4 linked regions of the Arabidopsis thaliana genome follow. The protein of the gene in region 4 interacts with the protein of the main gene of each other region in a pairwise test. Each region holds a gene or a part of one and is shown on either strand. Other genes may lie near its edges. The genes, in order: FHY3, TCP2, SRT1 and CCA1.

Evidence for each region.
Region 1: the proteins of CCA1 (region 4) and FHY3 interact in a two-hybrid assay, tested with the Arabidopsis thaliana proteins (one study listed by BioGRID).
Region 2: the proteins of CCA1 (region 4) and TCP2 interact in a two-hybrid assay, tested with the Arabidopsis thaliana proteins (one study listed by BioGRID).
Region 3: the proteins of CCA1 (region 4) and SRT1 interact in a two-hybrid assay, tested with the Arabidopsis thaliana proteins (one study listed by BioGRID).

Annotation. Positions count from the first base shown.
Region 1 is NC_003074.8:7,821,459-7,827,892, reverse strand, and holds FHY3 (far-red elongated hypocotyls 3), read left to right. Parts: upstream 1-1,696; 5' UTR 1,697-2,113; intron 2,114-2,437; 5' UTR 2,438-2,478; coding exon 2,479-4,632; intron 4,633-4,736; coding exon 4,737-4,793; intron 4,794-4,877; coding exon 4,878-4,946; intron 4,947-5,020; coding exon 5,021-5,089; intron 5,090-5,185; coding exon 5,186-5,254; intron 5,255-5,347; coding exon 5,348-5,392; intron 5,393-5,477; coding exon 5,478-5,534; 3' UTR 5,535-5,896; downstream 5,897-6,434. Other genes in the region: AT3G22180 (DHHC-type zinc finger family protein), read right to left, coding at 1-280, 428-541, 659-703.
Region 2 is NC_003075.7:10,162,397-10,167,370, forward strand, and holds TCP2 (TEOSINTE BRANCHED 1, cycloidea and PCF transcription factor 2), read right to left. Parts: upstream 3,188-4,974; 5' UTR 3,047-3,187; intron 2,282-3,046; 5' UTR 1,914-2,281; coding exon 816-1,913; 3' UTR 526-815; downstream 1-525. UniProt on the Arabidopsis thaliana protein: Plays a pivotal role in the control of morphogenesis of shoot organs by negatively regulating the expression of boundary-specific genes such as CUC genes, probably through the induction of miRNA (e.g. miR164). Participates in ovule development.
Region 3 is NC_003076.8:22,565,265-22,571,525, forward strand, and holds SRT1 (sirtuin 1), read left to right. Parts: upstream 1-1,957; 5' UTR 1,958-2,017; coding exon 2,018-2,116; intron 2,117-2,682; coding exon 2,683-2,712; intron 2,713-2,821; coding exon 2,822-2,914; intron 2,915-3,116; coding exon 3,117-3,236; intron 3,237-3,354; coding exon 3,355-3,455; intron 3,456-3,575; coding exon 3,576-3,684; intron 3,685-3,799; coding exon 3,800-3,879; intron 3,880-4,006; coding exon 4,007-4,085; intron 4,086-4,240; coding exon 4,241-4,294; intron 4,295-4,423; coding exon 4,424-4,520; intron 4,521-4,658; coding exon 4,659-4,741; intron 4,742-4,818; coding exon 4,819-4,886; intron 4,887-4,962; coding exon 4,963-5,065; intron 5,066-5,146; coding exon 5,147-5,452; 3' UTR 5,453-5,744; downstream 5,745-6,261. Other genes in the region: AT5G55750 (hydroxyproline-rich glycoprotein family protein), read right to left, coding at 476-580, 691-757. UniProt on the Arabidopsis thaliana protein: NAD-dependent protein deacetylase. Has deacetylase activity towards H3K9Ac. May have a function in the safeguard against genome instability and DNA damage to ensure plant cell growth.
Region 4 is NC_003071.7:19,244,052-19,249,442, forward strand, and holds CCA1 (circadian clock associated 1), read left to right. Parts: upstream 1-1,539; 5' UTR 1,540-1,821; intron 1,822-1,905; 5' UTR 1,906-1,953; coding exon 1,954-1,992; intron 1,993-2,071; coding exon 2,072-2,183; intron 2,184-2,271; coding exon 2,272-2,333; exon of another isoform or gene 2,334-2,700; intron 2,701-2,811; coding exon 2,812-3,006; intron 3,007-3,093; coding exon 3,094-3,267; intron 3,268-3,350; coding exon 3,351-4,232; intron 4,233-4,303; coding exon 4,304-4,666; 3' UTR 4,667-4,864; downstream 4,865-5,391. Other genes in the region: PSI-P (photosystem I P subunit), read left to right, coding at 1-46, 134-220, 306-368, 627-664, 762-819; DUF4 (hypothetical protein (DOMAIN OF UNKNOWN FUNCTION 724 4)), read right to left, coding at 5,140-5,391. UniProt on the Arabidopsis thaliana protein: Transcription factor involved in the circadian clock and in the phytochrome regulation. Binds to the promoter regions of APRR1/TOC1 and TCP21/CHE to repress their transcription. Binds to the promoter regions of CAB2A and CAB2B to promote their transcription.

The sequences.
Region 1 (6,434 bases), on a different chromosome or scaffold from region 4:
AGAAAACTGCCAGAGGATTATAGCAAGATCTTCTACTTACAGATTCCACTCTTTGAGCATCTTCTACAGAACCTTTCACACTAGAGTTTCCAGCCACGGTAGAACTCCTACTGACAACCGAAGGAGAAGCCTGCAACTGACTACCAGTTTCATCATAATTCCTTGATAAGCCACGAACCATGCCATCTCCATTCACGCCTGTATCAAATATCGACATGATTCTCGGATCCGCAGGATTGATTGCAGTACACCGAACATACAAAACAAACACAAGAATAGCCTGCAAAAACACACACGATACATAAAGGAACCTATCAGATAAGATCAATGCCATAAACTACACAGCTGTGGAATCCAAAACTCGTTATGAATTTGCAAAATTGATTCTGATCATAAACACTACTAGCTTGAGAAGCATTAAACATACCACGGGAGAGTAAACACCGATCAAAACGTATTCCCAAATACGACCTCCAACAAAAGGAGCGAAGAAAGCATAGAAAGCGACCACCAACAAGCAAAACACCGTAATTGCAATCACCTGAGAAGAAAAATACACAGAACCCAATTGAAATCACAGCCATTGGTGACTTTAGATTGAGCAGATTCATGAAAAATTGAAGCTTTGGCTATAGAGAAAGGTTACATTCGATTTTACCTGAAGAGTGTGAGCGGGAAGTTGCCAACCGTGTTTCCTCACCATACCTTCTTCTCCAACAACAATAAGCAAAGATAAACAAACTCTAATTTTCCGACAACGTCACCGTCACGTTGCCGTTCGCCACCGCCGGAGCGATTAAGTGAAGAGTGTTGTTGCTCGTTGAAAAGGGAAAGGGACTGAGAAAATATCGTCTCTCTCTGTTACTGTGGCAGGTTTAGTCTTAATTAAGTCCAAATGGTTGACCCAACTTTTACATTAGTGGATAATTAATTATAAATAATTTTGGTATTATAAATAATTTTGGCATAATTATAATTAAATTTCAGGATATTGGCTGGCTTTTTGTCAAAAAATATATGCTGTATTAAATTAAATCATGTCGGAAATAGTAAATTACCAACTGGCTATTGGCTATTGATTATGATATTTTATGAAATTTATTTTGAATTCATAAAATATTTCCAAAAATGGTATTTATTTTATTGTAGCTAATATGTAAAAAAAAGTTAGGAAATAATTTTTTTTTTACCAAACTTTTTAACATTAGTGGGACTAATTATAACTATGGTTTTTAAGACTGAGCTAATCTATATGTACAAAATTAAAAAGAACAGTGACTCATGCTAATGAGTGGCTATTGATTTATTTATTTTTTTGGACGGCTATTGATCTTTTTATTTTGGATCAAATATAATAAATTAATCCAATTCTGAAATAGTCATACCAATTGGCTCTTGGCTATTGAAAGTTGGTAAAAGCATTTACTAATATATATATATATATATAGTCCAAATTCAAAACTGATAGTTTGTAAATAACAAAAAAATATTTTGAATAGTTTACTATGATTTTTTTTTGTAATTCACCGTAATGTTTCAGTTTTCACCATAGTAAATACTTAGAAATACAAAATAAAATAATTCAAACAAGTCTTAGTCTTAGAGTGGACCAAACAAATTTTAAAAGCCTAAACAAGTCTACTCTTATAGATGTAAGTAAATCTCATCATTCCCATTATTCACGCTTCCCTCCAATTTTTGTTTTGGCATGCGCGTTGCACAAAATTTCAAACAAAAACAGTTTTTTTTTTTCTTTCTAATTTTATTTTATTAATAACATAAATAAATGGATAGAGATATTATTATTATCAAAAAACATGGTGATGCGTTTAGACAGAGAGAAGAAGAAGAAGAAACCCTAGACACCAAAAGAACGAATCGTGGATCTTCCGCCCACTCGCTTCCTCAGATCGCGTGAACACCACTCACCAATTTTTCTTCTCTTTCTCTCTTCTTCTTCTCTATCTCCTTTTCGCAGATCGATACCCCAACTCGCACCCGATTGGCGCGTGTTGTCTTCTTCTTCTTCCTCCTCTCGACGACGAAGAGATTAAAAAGAGACGGCCTTTTCTCAGTTTCTGCTCCGATTCGTATATCTTCTGTTTCGTACGAGGTAAAGTTTTCATTTTTATTTTTTGTTTTTGTTTTATAGTGATAACCAACACAAATGATTGGGTTATACAGTAGTTTTGATCAGCTTCGTTTTAGGAATTGGATTTGAGGATTTCGTTTATGTGATGAAATACCCACTAAGAATTTAGCTGCAAGTTGCTTTTTTCTGCAATTGTAAGGGCAAAATGTGTATACTTTCTCGATTTATCATCATAGAAAGATTGAATTTTGATGGGTTTCTCTGGTTTGTTACATCTTTTGTGTGTGACTTTAGTATACATTTTGACCTAGATATATGTACTGAGACCTAGATTTTGTCTTGCAGTGTTGTAAGACGTTTGTTTTGCCTGAGACTATAGGTTTGTCATGGATATAGATCTTCGACTACATTCAGGTGACCTTTGCAAAGGAGATGATGAGGATAGAGGACTTGATAATGTGTTACACAATGAAGAAGATATGGATATTGGCAAAATTGAGGATGTTTCTGTTGAGGTTAATACTGATGACAGTGTAGGCATGGGTGTTCCAACTGGGGAGTTGGTTGAGTACACTGAGGGTATGAATCTTGAACCTCTTAATGGTATGGAGTTTGAGTCACACGGTGAAGCGTATTCGTTTTACCAGGAGTATTCTCGAGCTATGGGGTTTAACACTGCGATACAGAACAGTCGTAGATCGAAAACTACAAGAGAGTTTATTGATGCGAAGTTTGCTTGCTCTAGGTATGGTACTAAAAGAGAATATGACAAATCTTTTAATCGGCCACGAGCTAGACAAAGTAAGCAAGATCCAGAGAATATGGCTGGTAGGAGAACATGTGCGAAAACCGATTGCAAAGCTAGTATGCATGTTAAGAGAAGGCCGGATGGGAAATGGGTAATTCACAGCTTTGTGAGGGAGCATAATCATGAGCTTTTACCTGCACAAGCTGTGAGTGAACAGACCAGAAAGATATATGCTGCAATGGCTAAGCAGTTTGCTGAGTACAAAACTGTTATAAGTCTAAAAAGCGATTCGAAAAGTTCTTTTGAAAAAGGTCGGACTTTATCAGTGGAAACAGGGGATTTCAAAATCCTGCTTGACTTCTTGTCACGGATGCAATCCTTGAATTCCAACTTCTTTTATGCAGTAGATCTGGGCGATGATCAGCGAGTGAAGAATGTATTTTGGGTAGATGCAAAGAGCAGGCATAACTATGGCAGTTTTTGTGATGTTGTTTCTCTAGACACCACCTACGTAAGAAACAAGTACAAGATGCCACTTGCTATTTTTGTTGGAGTGAACCAGCACTACCAGTATATGGTCCTTGGGTGCGCCTTAATATCCGATGAGAGTGCAGCAACATATTCTTGGTTAATGGAGACCTGGCTGAGAGCAATCGGTGGACAAGCTCCAAAGGTTTTGATCACTGAGCTAGACGTTGTAATGAACTCCATTGTTCCCGAAATCTTCCCCAATACACGGCATTGCCTTTTTCTTTGGCATGTATTGATGAAGGTTTCTGAGAATCTTGGTCAAGTTGTTAAGCAACATGATAATTTTATGCCTAAGTTTGAGAAGTGCATCTATAAATCAGGGAAAGATGAAGACTTTGCGAGAAAATGGTATAAGAATCTTGCTAGATTCGGCCTCAAAGATGATCAATGGATGATTTCTTTATATGAAGACCGCAAGAAATGGGCACCAACCTACATGACTGATGTTCTTTTGGCTGGGATGTCTACATCTCAACGAGCTGATAGTATTAATGCTTTCTTCGACAAGTATATGCATAAGAAGACTAGTGTACAAGAATTTGTAAAGGTATATGATACAGTTTTGCAAGATAGATGTGAAGAAGAAGCCAAAGCTGATTCTGAAATGTGGAACAAGCAGCCAGCAATGAAGTCTCCATCGCCATTTGAGAAGAGTGTTTCTGAAGTCTATACTCCTGCAGTTTTCAAAAAGTTCCAGATTGAAGTTTTGGGTGCGATTGCGTGTAGTCCTAGGGAGGAGAACCGAGATGCCACATGTTCTACTTTTAGAGTGCAGGATTTTGAAAACAACCAAGACTTCATGGTAACATGGAACCAAACAAAGGCTGAAGTCTCTTGCATCTGTCGGTTATTTGAGTATAAAGGGTATCTCTGCAGACACACTCTTAATGTTCTTCAGTGTTGTCATCTTTCTTCCATCCCCTCGCAGTACATATTGAAGCGGTGGACAAAAGATGCAAAAAGCCGGCATTTTTCAGGAGAACCTCAGCAGTTGCAGACTAGGCTGCTGCGGTATAACGATTTGTGCGAACGAGCATTAAAGCTGAATGAAGAGGCATCCCTCTCTCAAGAGAGTTACAATATTGCATTCCTTGCTATTGAAGGAGCTATAGGAAACTGTGCTGGTATTAATACTTCCGGCAGAAGTCTTCCAGATGTTGTAACGTCACCAACTCAAGGTCTGATTTCTGTGGAGGAGGACAACCATAGCAGAAGTGCAGGCAAAACCAGCAAGAAAAAGAATCCAACTAAGAAAAGAAAAGTAACTTACTTGTTTACGATCTCTCTGTGCAGACAGCTTATGGATTTTGTTCGCTTTGCGCTTTTATGCTTTGCAAATTTGATGATACCAAATACTAATTTCAGGTGAACCCAGAGCAGGATGTTATGCCAGTTGCAGCGCCAGAAAGCTTGCAACAGATGGTCTGTCTTTGTTGACATGTCGTGGCAAGCCTCTTTTAAACACAAGTCGCCTAAGTATGTCATATCTGAATTTTGTAATTGCAGGATAAGCTGAGCCCAAGGACGGTTGGCATTGAAAGCTATTATGGAACACAGCAGAGCGTACAAGGAATGGTAATTAAGCACAACATACGTTCATATTATTATCTAGATACGTATGTAATCTGTTTTGATATGTGTTTTTACAGGTCCAGCTGAACTTAATGGGGCCAACTCGCGATAATTTCTATGGGAATCAACAAACAATGCAAGGATTGGTATGAAATCGACCATGACATGTGTATAAGTAGCTTCTGCTGTTTTCTATTTCATTAACTTTGGATAAAAAAACAATTCCGGCTGGTTTTCTGTAGCGACAGTTGAACTCGATAGCACCAAGCTACGACAGTTACTACGGTCCTCAGCAAGGCATCCATGGACAGGTACCTACATACCTATTCTCAATGCTTTCATAAGTTTTGTCAATCTTGTAACAAGACTGCCAAAAAAGTAAAATCTTACTTTGTTCTTTCTAGGGAGTAGATTTCTTCAGGCCTGCCAATTTTTCTTACGACATCCGGGTAACTATTGCAGTTGTAATAAAAGATCTTTCTTTTTCCTGTTTGTATCAATTGGTCATCTTAGTTCATGGTGATTTCTGTGCAGGATGATCCTAATGTGAGGACTACGCAGTTGCATGAGGACGCGTCTAGACACTCGTAAACAAAACTATAAGTTAACCACGAATCAAATCTTAAGAGTCGTCAGTCTGTGGATGAAAGATTCAAATCTCGGAGAACAAAAGCCAACGAGCACTAGGACGCGGTTAGGTTTGGAACAGAACATGAGCCAAAGCTCTGTTTTATCTTCTCAAGTGTTAAAAATAGGATGTTGTATTGTTTCGCCTTTATTCTCAGAGATTCGATTCTGTTAATATTGTTTGTATTAGTTCTGATGATCATATGTTTGATCATTTGACTGTTCGATTTAAGAGGTGAAGAAACAGTGTTACAAGAATATTCTCTATTTGTAAACTCTTGTTAATTCTCTTGATTAGGTTTCTCAAATTTGTATCTTGTGATTAATCTTGCCCAAATTACAAACAAAATTGTGGTATGCTATTGGCGGTTTGAATCTTGTTGAAGAGAGGAGAGAGGGTTACATAGTATAAATATAAAATTCTTTAAAATCAGAGAAGGATCATAAATTTATTATTATTATTTTTGAGTAATCATAAACAATTTTTCTCTTCTTTTGGCAAATAGAGCTTTTAGGCAAATTATTAAAATGTGGCCTAACATTCTATTTTGTATAGAAGAAATTATTTAAATACTGTTATTAAAAAAAACATTAATGAATAAATACGATTTAGTAATTTAATGTAAAAAAACAAACAAAAATTTCTATAAATGTTAAAGAGATGAATTTTGTTTTCAAAATAAAGTCCTAAAACACATTAAAAATGTGATATATGTAGAAAAAAAATGTGGCGTTTTATTTGATTATTTTTTAGTGGCCTAAGGAAAATGCTTTTTTTCTTACATATCAAGCAAGACTCTCTTGCAATTGAGACTCATTTTTCGTTTATTGTTCCAAAAAAATTCTGGTCACATGTAAAAACTT
Region 2 (4,974 bases), on a different chromosome or scaffold from region 4:
AGAAGATCAAGTAGCCCATGAAAGAAAAAGTTAAAAAAACTTATAATAATATAAACAGATCATAAGAAATAAAATCATGAAAATTTGGGAATAGCCATTGTTGAAGACAACAGCTGTCAAATGAAGAAGATATATTCATAAGATAGATAGATTATAAAAACAATACATATGGAGAGAGATGATGCTAAGGAAGAAGGGAACCAAACATAGAGCACAACAGGAGACAATTCATTTTGATTTTCACTCTCTTCAATGCATAATGGCCTTACCCTCAATTTTTCAGTTTTGTCTATCAAAATTATTTATTTCCCTGATTATTATGTATATTTTCTTTCTTTCTATTTTTATTTACAAGTTTTTTTTTGTCTCTTCACTTAATTTCTGTATTTTTTATTTTTTTGGGAAAATTCTTAATTTCTGTATTTAATTCTTCTGAGTATTTGATTTGATTCAATCTAGTACCTTAAAAGGATCGCCCTATTGCCTTGACCTACCATTTGTTCATGAATACCAAGAAACAGTATCTTCGTACTATAAACAATTTACTAAAGAAAAAAAAAATGCTAACTATACCAATTACATGGCAAAAATAACATTCAAAAATTCAATTATAAACTCACAAACAAAATGCTATTATCACAAATACAACATTACAAGCACAATGCAAAAAGATTTCCAAAGACCCTCAATACATAAAACAAAACCCTAACACACATCAGACAACGAAAGAGATTAACATTTGTTTTGAAATAAACCAAAGATAAACATACAAAATGAGCATTTGAACAAAACCAAAGATGCAATAATTAATATCATCAGTTCTTGCCTTTACCCTTATGTTCTGATGAGTTTCTGCATCCATTTTCATAGTAAAGCTGAAACTGGTGATTGTGGTGGTGATTCTCTGCAGGCAGTGCACCGAATAAGAACTGTGGACCTCCTCCACTTTCTGATGTTGGAAACCTCTGTAGATTAGCGAGGAATGACTGATGCTGATTTGTTGAATTGGACTGAAGGGTCCCCCTGTTGAAACCACTGAAGCCACCACCTGATGCGGCGGAGACGGCAGCTCCGGCGCCGGAGGGTGTTGACATATTAAAATCAAGATTGAATGCTCCGCCGTTGGATTCTGCCGGTGATATCAAATGGTCGGGAACGAATGAAAACTCTTGATGCTGATGATGAGGATGATGATGATGATGATCGGAGATTGATGAGAAAGGATGAGAATTTGTTGAAATAGGGAAATGGGTTTGTTGACCCGACCCGAGAATTAAACCCGAACTGAAATACTCCATTGGAGATGAAGAAGGAGCTGAAGCCATCCATTGCCGGTTTGAGTTAACCGGATCTGAACCGGAATTTAACAAATCCGTAAACGAAGTGTGGTTATGATCTCTTTCCTTGGTCTCTTTAGCTGTTCTCTCTCTAGCCCTCTCTCTAGCTTTATCTCTAAGCTCCGATCTTGATAAAGACAAACCAGAAGAGTTCTTGCTCGTGTCTGAATTGCTACTACAAGCAGATTTAGACAAGGAATTAGCAGCAACTGTTGTTAATGTCTGATTCTGGTGATTCTCGTCATCGGTCGGAAAATGAGTGTTGTTGAGTGAAGGAAGCTCAGAGATTGAATCTTCAGCAGCTTTGATTAACCATTCAACAGCTTTGCTAGGTTGATCATAACCTAACCGATCTTGAAGATCATAGAATTGAAGAGCGGTGGAGACTGATAACCGGACACGACGGTCACGTGGTCCTTTAGAAGTCAAGACTTTGCTGTGTCGATCTTTACCACCGGAAGCTCGTGAAACCCTAATTATCCGGGAAGAATTGTGATGCCACCGGCTTAACCGGTTGTTCACTTCGTTATCCACAACGTCGCCATTGTTGTTATTCTTCATTAGATCTCCAATCATTTCATCATCACCAATAATCTCATCACTAAAGAAAAAAAATTAGGGTTTTGTTTTTTTTTGGTTACCCCCAAAATTAAAAATCAAAACTTTAGGGTTGGTTTGGGATTTAAAGAAGGAGAAAAAAATGGGTTTTTGTTTTTGTTTTGTTTACCCACTGTACTTTGTAAGCATTGATGATGAATACCCTCAGAGGAAAAACCAAAAGAAGAAAAAAAATGTGTTTTTTTTTAAAATTAATTTAGGGTTTTTGATATTTCACCATCAAAGTCAGTAGATACAGCTTCGTATAAGCTTTGTCTGCAGCTGCTGTTGTTTGTTGCAGAGAGTCATCAAAAGCACTGTGTCTGAAATGATTTTTAACCACAAGCCTGCAATAACAAAAACAAAGAAACAATCTCATAAGAACAAATCTTTACACATATATATATACATAAATGCTTATATATATATATATATATGTTACATCCTTATCGACTTTTTCTACAGATGACTTTCATTCATATATACACATAATTAAGATATCAGTTATTCTGATTCGAATTTATGCTCTACTCATTGTAGATCTGACATATCACAACAATTGATAAAACGGGTTTAAAGTTAATGATCGTGATTAAAGAAGAAGGAGCTAGAAGAAGAATCAGAAGCTATGATAAATAATTAAGCTGAATCAACTGCTTTCGGCTGAAGCGATTATCAATGGAGGGCTTTAAAGAGTAAGAAGACAAAAAATGCAGAAATCGAGTTTTAAGCTTTTCTTCTCTATATAAAGATTTTGGTGTTTCTAATTATGAAAGAAAAAGAGTTGTTTCATAGTAACCAACAAGAAGATTAAATCAATTTAAAAATTCTTAAAAAGGAATCATTATTGATGTGTTCTGGATTCTATGCAGATCACAGGTGTCAAGCTCTTGGCTTTGAGATTATATGAAACCAAAATTTTAAAGCAAATTAAAGGAACAAATACACTTCTTTCTACAGTGAAATTCTCATCAAGAAATAAAAATCTTAGATCTAGAATTGTTTTTTTGGAATCAGAATTAAGTATAAACACGAAATTCAGATTCTTTCTATGAAAAAGATTGGTTTTTGTTTGTTTCTCGGAAAATTCGATGAGATAAATTGAGACTTACAGAAGAAACAGAGGAGCTTGAGCTTGGAGTTAGTAGTAGTAGGTGACGAAGAAAGAGGGCTATAGGGTTTTAGGGATTTGTATATAAGAAATAAAAATCCGAGAAAATTGGAATTTCTTTGATGGTGATTTTAAAGGAGTGATCATCAGATGGGGAGAGAGATATTGGGCATAAACTTTGATTTTATTTCCATTTTTGCCCTTCATTACATTACTTATTCACGGAATTGCCACGGTCCTCTACAAAATATCTGTATTAAATTATCATCCTCAGTAATTTGATTTCAGGTGAGAAAAATTATTTGATATTTTCGTTTGTTTTTGGCAATAAAAACACAAGAAAATATTTAAAGAAGTTTTTTTTGGCAGCTATTATATCAAGAAGTTGTGAACATAAATGCTATAGAAATGTTAGAAACAAATCAATGCGTGAATATGAGAAATCATATTATCTCATGTCACATGTATATTTATGTAGGAGAGGAGAACAAACAAAAAAACAATTCACTTTGTCCAAGTGTCCTTAGGATTTTAGTTTGTTCATAGAAATAGAATTCGATTAATACTCAATAATCTACTCTATGATATGTTTCGATCATAAAAAATGCTACATGTTTTATGTTTTCAAAATAGGTTTGGTCTATCATTCTTTACATGTAAAGCTCATGGTTTTCCACCAATTCCTTCGGAACATAGATTTAGATAGATAAAAGATTCATACCGCAATATAAACATATCTCTCATTCTCAAGCTAGTTTTCCAAGTTTTTATCTACTTGCTTTAAAAAAGGAACTCTCGCGGTCTCGCCTACACTCTTAGTCTTTTTGTTCTCCGACATGATTAATATTGTATATTCAGAACATTTTGCAGAGTAAACTCGACCCTCTCTCTTGAGCATAAAGCTCGAATCCTTCCTCTGTTTTTTTATTATCTATTTGGTTTGAGGTCTTTTAATTTTAGATATGTGAGTAAATTATTTATATTTTGTTTATGTGTTTAAAGTTTGCTTATGTTAATGAAATTTTTTTATAAAAAAATGCTACATGGAAATATATATACTGTCCGTATCATAACAATGTTAATTGTTATTTACCAAAAAAATATCTTTATTACGATAAAAACTTATACTATGAATCTTAGAAATTAGAAAAATTGTAACTATTATGTGTGAATTTCAAAAATTAATCAAATGAAAAATATGTCGTCAACGACCTTTTTAACTAAATTATCGTATAGGTCTTAGTCAGCCATTGCTCGGGTTCAAATTTGAAAAGTTTGGGATTTTATATAGAACAAAAAAAATAAAAATTTTATATGAGAAAATGTCTAAATTTAGCAGTTTTTATGATATTTTTCTATTTTTAACCATAACATGTACTAGCCTAATAAAAATATAAAAACAAATTTTATTTTGGAGACAATGCAAAACAATTATCAAAGTAAGCACATAATCCAAGCAAATATCTAAAAATTAAACAAACTATTTTAAAGTAGAAATAACTAAATTTCCGGGATAATGATATTTAAGGAAGAATGAAAACTATTTTAAAACCTATACATTTCTTTTCCACCTAACAAATCATATTGATAAAGAAATCCAAACCCCTATTTTAATAACTTACACTATGTCAATCCCACATCACATCACTAGAACTTCATGGAAAAAACACGCACAATTTAATTCAAGAATTAGTACAAATCGTTTGCAATTTTAATAATCTAGTAGTATTTTTTTAGTCAAGTGGTATTACACCATACTCTATTAACTTTAATAAGTACAGATTAGTTATTAGTTAATGTGGTTTGTGGAATTCAATAACTGCGATTAAGAACAAATGACGAAAAAGGGAAAGAAGTAGAGCAAGTGGTTCACGACGGTCTCGAGAGCACGTGTCGCTGTCTTAACGGACACTTGCTCACTTCTCGATC
Region 3 (6,261 bases), on a different chromosome or scaffold from region 4:
GCTGAGTTTAGATTGACACAGTTTAAAAGTGATAGATAAAAGGTAATAAGAGGAACAGAGAGAGAAGCTTGAAGAGACAACATGATGATGACTTAGAGAAAATGATGAGTGTTTGGTCTTTGGTTTTGAGATTTATAATAAAAAGAGATGAATTTTTTCCTCGGTTTCGTATTATCTGCCGCATGGCATTACACATGTCGGGGGTGTTGGAGGATTTCTGAAGAAAACGTTTGTGTCTTTTAGCTGATGTAGACAAATTTTTGTCATGTAATGACAAATTAAAACGCATTTGTATTACTTTGGAATATATAGATATATACCGATCGGTACCATTTTCATCAATAGATGTCCCAAAGAAGATGGATTATGAGTAACATGAGTTTTAAGATAATTGTGACAAGTCGAATGAATCTTTTGCTATGGGAAAGATGAAGAACTATGAATTGTTTCAAGTAATCAAATAATCAAATTTTACGTTGAAGACGGGGTTTACACGATGGATAATATGTGGCTCCAACTAAGCTGTTGCATGCTCCCGAGTTGCAATTACATTCAATCGCTCTGGCCCATGTAGTGAAGGCTGACAAGAGCAACCAGAAAAAAGTTGATGAGGGTCATTTGTTAGTAAGGTGCTAGCCTTCACAATAAACTGCTTAATTATGATAACTTTAACCCTCGCTTTGAAATTACCATCGATGATGGCTTTTTGGACAAGTTTGGAAAAAGTATCCACCAAACTCATGATTTGCTTGTGCATTCATGGTGCTGGGTGAGTTTGTTTTGACTAGTCTGTTGTAGGATTCAACTACTTTTCAAATGATGCACAAGCTAGTGTTGAGGTGTGACTACACTTTCGGACAGTATTGTATCCGAGGAAATATTAATTCTGATGGTGTGGGTTGTGGTCTTGTCGAGAGTGGAATGAGGACTAACATAACCCATATTTAAGTCTGCATGCTGCATGTTTTTTATTAAAAAACTGTGTGAGGTATGTTAATCTTGATAAATAAATTGATGATATATAACAATACTTATTTATGAAACTTAGATATGTTATAAGTTTATTCACCAAACTGAATTCAAAATGGCTTTGAGTGATGAGTTTCAAACCGGTTCGATAGAACAAGATTTTAATCTAATATAAGCTCATGGTTGAGCATGCACCAGAACGTCACATAGAATCAATTTAAATCCATAGTAAACCCTGTCATATGGTTTAGTATTTTACAAATTACAACCCACTTTATCAAATGGTTTCAATATTCAATGTGTTGACATTTACCTATATATTTTAAATAATAACAAGACGATAAATTTACTTATTTAATAACTCATTGTATTGGTTTAACCAATTAGATGAATGTTGTTTACAATGATTCAAGGATACCGAAACCGAGTTCAAGTTTTGTTATAAGATGATCTACAACCGTGAGCTTGACACAAATATTATCAGTCTAATTCTGGGACTAAAGAGATTATGGATCACATATTCATAATTTCATGATTACATAAAAAAAGTAAAAATAAATAAATGATATATAGATAAAAATTGGTGAAATGTATTAAAAGTTGCAATGATATCACCCACTTAATTTAGCTATGATATTTTAGGTTAATGTAATTAATGTTTTTCTTATATCAAATTTTTGTTTAGCCAAACTAAACAAATTTGAGAAATATAATAACATGCCATAAAATAAGTTTTATATGAATCCAATTAATACCCTAATTTGGATTTTCATTTAAATATCACAAACTTTAGGTTTATCAGGGAAACATAATAAAGAAATGTTATATAAAAATTTAGCAACACTTTTAAAATCTAAAATCTCTGATATTCTGAGAAATGTCAAAAAAAATATTCCAGATTGCATATAATAATAAAATCATAATAAAAAGAATTAAAATATATTGATACTTCATAAATAGAAGTCACTGTCCAAGTCTCTGCTTTTTTATACATCGAGAGGCAGAGAAGGTGTTCTTCTTCTTGTCCAAAAGAGAAGACAAAACCTAAATGTCTTTAGGTTACGCAGAGAAATTATCCTTCATTGAAGATGTTGGTCAAGTCGGCATGGCTGAATTCTTCGACCCATCTCATCTTCTACAATGCAAGGTTTCTATTTTTTGTTTCCTTCTCCTCCTGGGGTTTTGTGGGTTTACTCTATTTTTCTCGAGATTCTGTATAATTTCACGTTGCGTTGATTTTTTCTCTGGATTAATCGCTTAGCTGTTTAGATTTTAGAGTTGATCCTTCTTGTGTTCTGTCCTAGTGTTTGATTTTGGATCGTAGGTTCATATTAAGCCTTTAAGTTTTTATATTTGTCGTTTGGATGGTCGTGAAGAGTTGTTGAAGAGTTGGAGAATGATTAGTACTTAATGATTCATATAATCTAGTTTTAGGTTATACAGTACCTGTTTTTAGACTTGCATTGTGTTGTGTTAATTGAAGAATGAAATTTGGTGATAACAAGCATCTTAAGATTATGTGATTTTATTTACTGATTATGTGAAAACCGTTGTCTGGATTCAAATTTGTGTGGAGATTTTGACTGTTTGTTTATCATTGTTTTATCTAACAAGCCAAAAGGTCTGATAAAAGGATTTGGTTGCTAGATCTTGGCGTGTTTATTGTTTATTTCACTATTGTGCTAACTCTGGTGTTTGTCTTTGGAAATGCAGATTGAAGAACTTGCTAAGTTGATTCAAAAGGTTTGAATCTTTACCCTCTTTCGTATTCTTCTTGGTGCTTTTGAATATATGTTTTTGGTTTCTTGTTGTTATTTAAGTATCTTTAAGAAGGCTGGTTTGATGTTTGCAGAGTAAGCATCTAGTAGTCTTTACTGGTGCAGGCATTTCAACTTCTTGTGGTATTCCTGATTTCCGAGGCCCCAAAGGAATTTGGACGTTACAGGTGTGAGCTAAGGCCATTTAATCCTCTTTTCTTTGACTATCTGCTCGAGTGATTTGATTTTGAATTCTGTCATTGATTGGTCTGTTATCATCACTTCTTGACTTGATTGCATTGTCTTGGATTATGTGGCTAATATACTTGTCTTTTGTAAAGCATCATCTCTTGAAAGTTAACTCTTGTGATCCGTGTTTAATGGTTTCAGCGCGAGGGCAAAGATTTACCTAAAGCATCTCTGCCATTTCACCGTGCAATGCCGAGTATGACCCATATGGCTTTGGTTGAATTAGAAAGAGCTGGCATTTTAAAATTTGTTATCAGTCAGGTTATCCTCTTTTCCCTACAGAATTACTTTATAACTACCGTGCTTGAACACTGATAGGATCTTGTCTTCATGTTTACATTTCTAATTTCACTTATATGCTGCCTTCATAAATGATCAGAATGTGGATGGCTTACATCTTCGATCTGGAATACCAAGAGAGAAGCTTTCTGAACTGCATGGAGACTCTTTTATGGAGATGTGCCCATCATGTGGAGCAGAGTAAGCCAAAAATATGTTATTGCGTTTCTCTTATACTGTGACCCCTTGTGATTGAGAGCTGTCATAATCTATCCGTATATTGGACCATAAATGGTAACAACCTTTCTTGAAATTTCGAAGGTACCTGCGTGATTTCGAGGTGGAAACTATTGGATTAAAGGAGACATCAAGAAAGTGTTCTGTTGAAAAGTGTGGAGCTAAACTTAAAGATACGGTCTTGGATTGGGAGGTAACACGAAAGCGTTGCCTTTGAATCAGAGTCCACCAGTTTTACCTTTTTATGTAGTTAAAGAATTTAAGAAACTGAATTATGAAACTTTCTTTATATGACTCTTATGCTGCAGGATGCTTTGCCTCCAAAAGAAATTGATCCTGCGGAGAAGCACTGCAAAAAGGCTGATCTTGTACTCTGTTTGGGTACCAGGTAATTAATGACTCATAGGAACTCTCATGTTTGTTTCCTTAACACTTTTGATCAGTTAGCCAAACAACTCTCTTCTCTAGAGTATGTTGCATTTTGTTTGTTATATGTGTCTAACCTCTTTATGCAGTTTGCAGATAACCCCTGCTTGCAATTTGCCTCTCAAGTGTCTCAAAGGTGGAGGCAAGATCGTCATAGTTAATCTTCAGGTAATTGTTTATTTTGTTCATGTGCACGAGATTTAATGCGCGCCATATATGTAAATGAAATTTTCTCCGTTTGCTGATATTTTCTCTGGAATGTATATGGCAGAATGAGTTTTCTGGACTGTGTAGTTTGTGACTGATTATATTTACCCTTTCAGAAAACACCGAAAGACAAGAAAGCAAATGTAGTGATTCATGGTCTTGTTGATAAGGTAAGATTTACGTTTTGTTGTTTTCAAAAATTCTGGACATAACCTAAGTGATGTTTAACAGATTACCTTCAGCACTGTGCCCCAACTTGAGTCTTATAGATTTTTTCCCTTCATTATTCTGATGTGCAGGTGGTTGCAGGGGTCATGGAATCGCTCAACATGAAGATTCCTCCATATGTCAGAATTGATCTTTTCCAGATAATCCTAACTCAATCTATAAGCGGAGGTAGCTTTTCCTGAATCTTTCATGGTTTTTGTGCAACATATATGTCTTGTCCTGCACTGTAATTGGGTGTGTCAAACTTTTTATTAATGATGTTAGGCTTCATAGCTCTCACTCACATGTTTTTCATTTCTGTTACAGATCAGAGGTTTATTAATTGGACCCTGCGTGTTGCGAGTGTTCATGGATTGACTTCTCAGTTACCATTCATCAAGTCTATTGAGGTAATCTCTAGAAACTACTAAACCAATGCCAAAACAATCAAATTCAATTTTTCTGATATTTTTCATTTGCAATACAGGTTTCTTTCTCAGATAACCATAATTACAAAGACGCAGTTCTCGATAAGCAGCCTTTTCTTATGAAAAGGTAAAACTAACCTCTTCTTAGAAATCAGTTTCTTGTCCTATTTCTAACTCTTATATATATTCTCATCCTCTTTCAGGAGAACAGCACGAAACGAAACTTTTGATATATTCTTTAAAGTTAACTACAGTGACGGTTGTGACTGTGTCTCCACTCAACTTAGCCTCCCATTTGAATTCAAGGTTTATTACGATCCATAAAAGATCTTTGTTATCTTGACTCATGACCATTTTTCTCACAACATTTTCAAATAACCTGTGTAGATTTCAACAGAAGAGCATGTAGAGATTATTGACAAGGAGGCTGTGCTACAAAGCCTGAGAGAGAAAGCGGTAGAAGAATCCAGTTGCGGGCAAAGCGGTGTGGTTGAGAGAAGAGTGGTTTCTGAACCGAGAAGTGAGGCTGTTGTGTATGCTACGGTGACTAGTCTCAGGACTTACCATAGTCAACAATCTCTGCTTGCTAATGGAGACCTGAAATGGAAGCTGGAAGGTTCTGGAACATCCCGTAAACGCTCTAGAACCGGGAAGCGAAAATCGAAGGCTCTGGCAGAAGAAACCAAGGCATAGGAAGAAGAAAAGAAAGCTTTTGGTGTATATAAAGAAACACTAGTCTAACCGGAATAGGTAATATGGAAGTTATTGGCGTTTTGAGAGCTGAGTGAATTTTGTTTTTGGTCCACATTCGGTTCTCTTGAAACAAAAGTTAACCAGGAATTGAAAGAGATAATCTTGGTTCGTTGTCGTTTAGTATCGGTTGATTTTTGTAGAAGCTAGTGCATTCGAAATATTATTAAAAAAAATTTACAAGATGATCAAGCGATGCCAGAATCTGTCGACTGGTAGGAATCTCGGATTTGAAAAATACATAAAACGACATGCTCTCAATAATCCAGTACTGTTGCTATTTTAGCTTTAAAAACCTAGTGGTGAACAATTAATAATGATCAAGAAAAGATGTTATAGTACATAATTTAGATATACATTGTACTGTTCTATTTTAATATAATATGCAAATAATGTAAAACAAATCAACGAAAGTTAGCTGTACTTATATGACATCGTCAGTTAGAATTCTTTTTTTTTTTTTATGTTTTTTTATTGAATAAAAGGATAATTATGTTTTTCATTTTCAAGGGATTATTTTTTCCAAGTGGCAATTAATATTTCAAGTGGGAACATGTGTCAAGCGAAACTTTTTTTTTTTTTTTCACAATATTGATTGCAACTTTTTTGTTTGACAACTTTTAACTGTTAGGAATTAAGGAATAAATAAAAGATTCAAAAAAAATTTCGTTTTTTGTTTGACATCAAGAGATGGTCTCCTCTCAAATGAAAGTAAAATAGAAATCTATATTCATGAAAAAGATTGGACAGCT
Region 4 (5,391 bases):
TGAGACTACTGAGTTACCTGAAATCGTCAAGACTGCTCAAGAAGCTGTAAATACTCTTACTTTATTTATACAATGATGATTCTACCTCTTGCTTCTGGGTTACATGTACTGAATTTGGTTGTTTGGATTGAAGTGGGAGAAAGTGGATGACAAGTACGCTATTGGTTCTCTTGCCTTTGCTGGTGTAGTGGCTCTTTGGGGTTCTGCTGGAATGATTTCGGTGAGTAGAAGAATACTACTTTCTTCTTAAAACCCTAGTGTTAAATTTCCTTTATTTGATTCCAAAATTTGTTATTGTGAAACAGGCAATCGATAGGCTTCCATTGGTTCCTGGTGTTCTTGAACTTGTAGGCATCGGTTACACAGGAGTGAGTTTCTTCTTCTCTTTGTATCACTTGAACCAAAGCTCTCATGAACCTGTTTTGAGGATATAGATGATTCATCACTTCACTTTTGGATTTAGGATTAGTTCTCTGAATTTAGAATCCGAACATCTGCAATTCATATGGAGATATGATATCAGAAATTGATTGCTGCTTCTCGCTAGTGTTTCAATCTTAAAAGACGTGTGTAGTTTGTTTCAATTGTGTGATGGACCTTATTAACATTTGGTTTTTCTATGGCAGTGGTTCACTTACAAGAACCTGGTCTTCAAACCAGACAGGTTAACCAATTCTCTCTTTAACTCTGTGTTTGGTTGCATGTAATACTGAGAATGGAAGACTCAAATTCTCGAGGAAATTGTTTGTTATCTGTTTCAGGGAGGCTTTGTTTGAGAAGGTCAAGAGCACATACAAAGACATATTAGGGAGCAGCTGAATCAAAGGAGGAAGAAGAAGAAGAAGAGCCTTTTTGAGGCCATTCATGAATTGGAATGAAGGATATCAAAAGAATCTAACACAAAGGCCACGTCCTTCCTTCAATCTTTCCTTCTTGTAACTAAATAATTTTCATCCTTTCTCTCTCTCTGTCTCTGGTCTTTTTTAGCTCAAAGTATCATCCATTTATGTCAAAGTGTTGTAAATTCCTCAAGACTATATATGAGATGTTTTGTTTCATTTTCCAAAATTTCAAACTTTGTCCCCATTTAGTCTTCTACCCTTCATGCATGGTTAGCTTAGCTTAATGCTGAACTGTTGAATAACGATATGGGCCTTATGCTAAAAGAACAAAACCTTATGGGTCTAAAAAAAATAAGCCCAATATAAAACTATGGCCCAAATAAGTTTAGGTCCATTAGAGTGTGAGAATAGCGCGTGTAGTGAACCGCACGAGAATGCGCGTTCGATTGTTGGTGAAGTAGTCGTCTAGATTCCCGGGTCCACTGATGTTTCTAGTGTATCAGACACGTGTCGACAAACTGGTGGGAGAGATTAACGATCTTAAGTAGGTCCCACTAGATCAAGATATTATAACGAATTGACCTTTTTAACCTTTCAGGTAGTCCCGGAACTCGTGGCCTAGAATACAAAGAAGGTTGTGAACAAGTTGATGTTAAGATGGACAAGAATGTAACTTGAACAAAAGCTGAATCATCTCTTCAGCCACTAGTATGTTGACATATGGCAGTTTCTTTTGTAGCCTCGAAATAAATAAATTAAAAAGTTTGAGGTTAAAGATAATTATAGTGGCTGAGATTTCTCCATTTCCGTAGCTTCTGGTCTCTTTTCTTTGTTTCATTGATCAAAAGCAAATCACTTCTTCTTCTTCTTCTTCTCGATTTCTTACTGTTTTCTTATCCAACGAAATCTGGAATTAAAAATGGAATCTTTATCGAATCCAAGCTGATTTTGTTTCTTTCATTGAATCATCTCTCTAAAGGTACTTAAGATTGATTTATTGTCATGGTCTTTCTTATTGTTTGATGAATAACTTGACTTGATTGTTTTTTGTTTTGTGGATTAGTGGAATTTTGTAAAGAGAAGATCTGAAGTTGTGTAGAGGAGCTTAGTGATGGAGACAAATTCGTCTGGAGAAGATCTGGTTATTAAGGTAAATTAAACTAAATTTTAGGGGGAAGATGATTGTTTTAGGTGTCAAAGATTGAGAATTTTAATGAAACTTGATATAGACTCGGAAGCCATATACGATAACAAAGCAACGTGAAAGGTGGACTGAGGAAGAACATAATAGATTCATTGAAGCTTTGAGGCTTTATGGTAGAGCATGGCAGAAGATTGAAGGTTGATTTTTATTTCCCTTTATATGTCTTATTTTTTGTGTTTGCAGAGGTTTGTCTTCAAACTGATTTGCTTTTTTTCATTTGGACAGAACATGTAGCAACAAAAACTGCTGTCCAGATAAGAAGTCACGCTCAGAAATTTTTCTCCAAGGTAAAATCGGTTAATTTTGAAATGATGTTCTCATCTTCATTGGCTTAATGCTTAAGACTTATTGAAAGCCAGGCAAGTTTTCTGCTTCTTTTGCTTCTTAGTCAGGAGATAGATAGATTACGTTTTTAGAGTTTAGTAATGAGCAATAAGTCTTAAAATAGTTGGAGAAATGACGAGATGTAATCGTTTTCTTTTGTTTATGCCTATATCTTGTTAATCCACAAACATGTACATAGATTCTTCAGAAGAATGTTAGTTTCTTTAGATTCTTCAGATAAACTTGTGTCTTCTTACCGATTCTGAGGTAGTGGCAAAAGTGGGCTGAGTGCTAGAAATTTTTGAATGTTCCTTGTGATAAGCCATAGAGGTAAACCATTTTTGATTTTCCAGTTCTGTCATTTAAACTTGTTAGTGTCATTAGATTTTTGTTTGTTTACGTTTGTTTAGAGGGTAACAAAACTACTCTCATCTCTCTCAGGTAGAGAAAGAGGCTGAAGCTAAAGGTGTAGCTATGGGTCAAGCGCTAGACATAGCTATTCCTCCTCCACGGCCTAAGCGTAAACCAAACAATCCTTATCCTCGAAAGACGGGAAGTGGAACGATCCTTATGTCAAAAACGGGTGTGAATGATGGAAAAGAGTCCCTTGGATCAGAAAAAGTGTCGCATCCTGAGGTGATTTTCATGGTCATATGGCATCTTTTTGCAGTGTGTCACATTGCTCCTCATGTTATTAATACAGATTGTGTGCTTCGTTTATAGATGGCCAATGAAGATCGACAACAATCAAAGCCTGAAGAGAAAACTCTGCAGGAAGACAACTGTTCAGATTGTTTCACTCATCAGTATCTCTCTGCTGCATCCTCCATGAATAAAAGTTGTATAGAGACATCAAACGCAAGCACTTTCCGCGAGTTCTTGCCTTCACGGGAAGAGGTAAAAAACAATCTTTCATTGCTATTTGAGGTTTTAAGACGATTAGTACTTTTCATGAAACTAAAACCGTGGGGGAATAACAGGGAAGTCAGAATAACAGGGTAAGAAAGGAGTCAAACTCAGATTTGAATGCAAAATCTCTGGAAAACGGTAATGAGCAAGGACCTCAGACTTATCCGATGCATATCCCTGTGCTAGTGCCATTGGGGAGCTCAATAACAAGTTCTCTATCACATCCTCCTTCAGAGCCAGATAGTCATCCCCACACAGTTGCAGGAGATTATCAGTCGTTTCCTAATCATATAATGTCAACCCTTTTACAAACACCGGCTCTTTATACTGCCGCAACTTTCGCCTCATCATTTTGGCCTCCCGATTCTAGTGGTGGCTCACCTGTTCCAGGGAACTCACCTCCGAATCTGGCTGCCATGGCCGCAGCCACTGTTGCAGCTGCTAGTGCTTGGTGGGCTGCCAATGGATTATTACCTTTATGTGCTCCTCTTAGTTCAGGTGGTTTCACTAGTCATCCTCCATCTACTTTTGGACCATCATGTGATGTAGAGTACACAAAAGCAAGCACTTTACAACATGGTTCTGTGCAGAGCCGAGAGCAAGAACACTCCGAGGCATCAAAGGCTCGATCTTCACTGGACTCAGAGGATGTTGAAAATAAGAGTAAACCAGTTTGTCATGAGCAGCCTTCTGCAACACCTGAGAGTGATGCAAAGGGTTCAGATGGAGCAGGAGACAGAAAACAAGTTGACCGGTCCTCGTGTGGCTCAAACACTCCGTCGAGTAGTGATGATGTTGAGGCGGATGCATCAGAAAGGCAAGAGGATGGCACCAATGGTGAGGTGAAAGAAACGAATGAAGACACTAATAAACCTCAAACTTCAGAGTCCAATGCACGCCGCAGTAGAATCAGCTCCAATATAACCGATCCATGGAAGTCTGTGTCTGACGAGGTACTTACTTGGACTAAAGATCAACTTCCTTTATTTCAAATCATTTTCTCATATAAATATTGTACATTCAGGGTCGAATTGCCTTCCAAGCTCTCTTCTCCAGAGAGGTATTGCCGCAAAGTTTTACATATCGAGAAGAACACAGAGAGGAAGAACAACAACAACAAGAACAAAGATATCCAATGGCACTTGATCTTAACTTCACAGCTCAGTTAACACCAGTTGATGATCAAGAGGAGAAGAGAAACACAGGATTTCTTGGAATCGGATTAGATGCTTCAAAGCTAATGAGTAGAGGAAGAACAGGTTTTAAACCATACAAAAGATGTTCCATGGAAGCCAAAGAAAGTAGAATCCTCAACAACAATCCTATCATTCATGTGGAACAGAAAGATCCCAAACGGATGCGGTTGGAAACTCAAGCTTCCACATGAGACTCTATTTTCATCTGATCTGTTGTTTGTACTCTGTTTTTAAGTTTTCAAGACCACTGCTACATTTTCTTTTTCTTTTGAGGCCTTTGTATTTGTTTCCTTGTCCATAGTCTTCCTGTAACATTTGACTCTGTATTATTCAACAAATCATAAACTGTTTAATCTTTTTTTTTCCAACCTGGAAAGAACTTCACTCAAGGGGCTCTTGTTCTTGATATATGCAAACGACAGAGTTCCAAAACGTAATCTTAGCCCATCCATCACCCTTAAGTTGTCTCATAACTCATAAGTAAGCACAAAAGCACCACACAAATAAGCAAACTCTACTTCCTTATGTCATCACATAAATAGAAAGGCAAGCAGCCAAAGGCAAGCAGTAGCAAGTACAACAGAGTTGTTACAAAAAAGGATTAAATAAAAACAGAAGTTATAAGGATAAATCCAACCACACCCATGAAATGACCCCATATCTTTTATTTGGCCGTCTCCTTGTCTTCAAAGCTGCTTTTGCACCTCACCAGACTCTTTTTCAGCTTGCTATAATCATCTGCCATCTCTTTCTCCATCCCTTTTTGTTGTCTGAGGGATTCACGTCTCATCTTGCGGAGAACTAACAGCGTGAGGACCTGTGATAAAGGTTCTGCAACGTCGAAACCCTGCTCCTCGAACATTTTAAATGTCTCTCTGTAGACATCTAGTTCACTTTTTGGAGTGTCCTCACACAT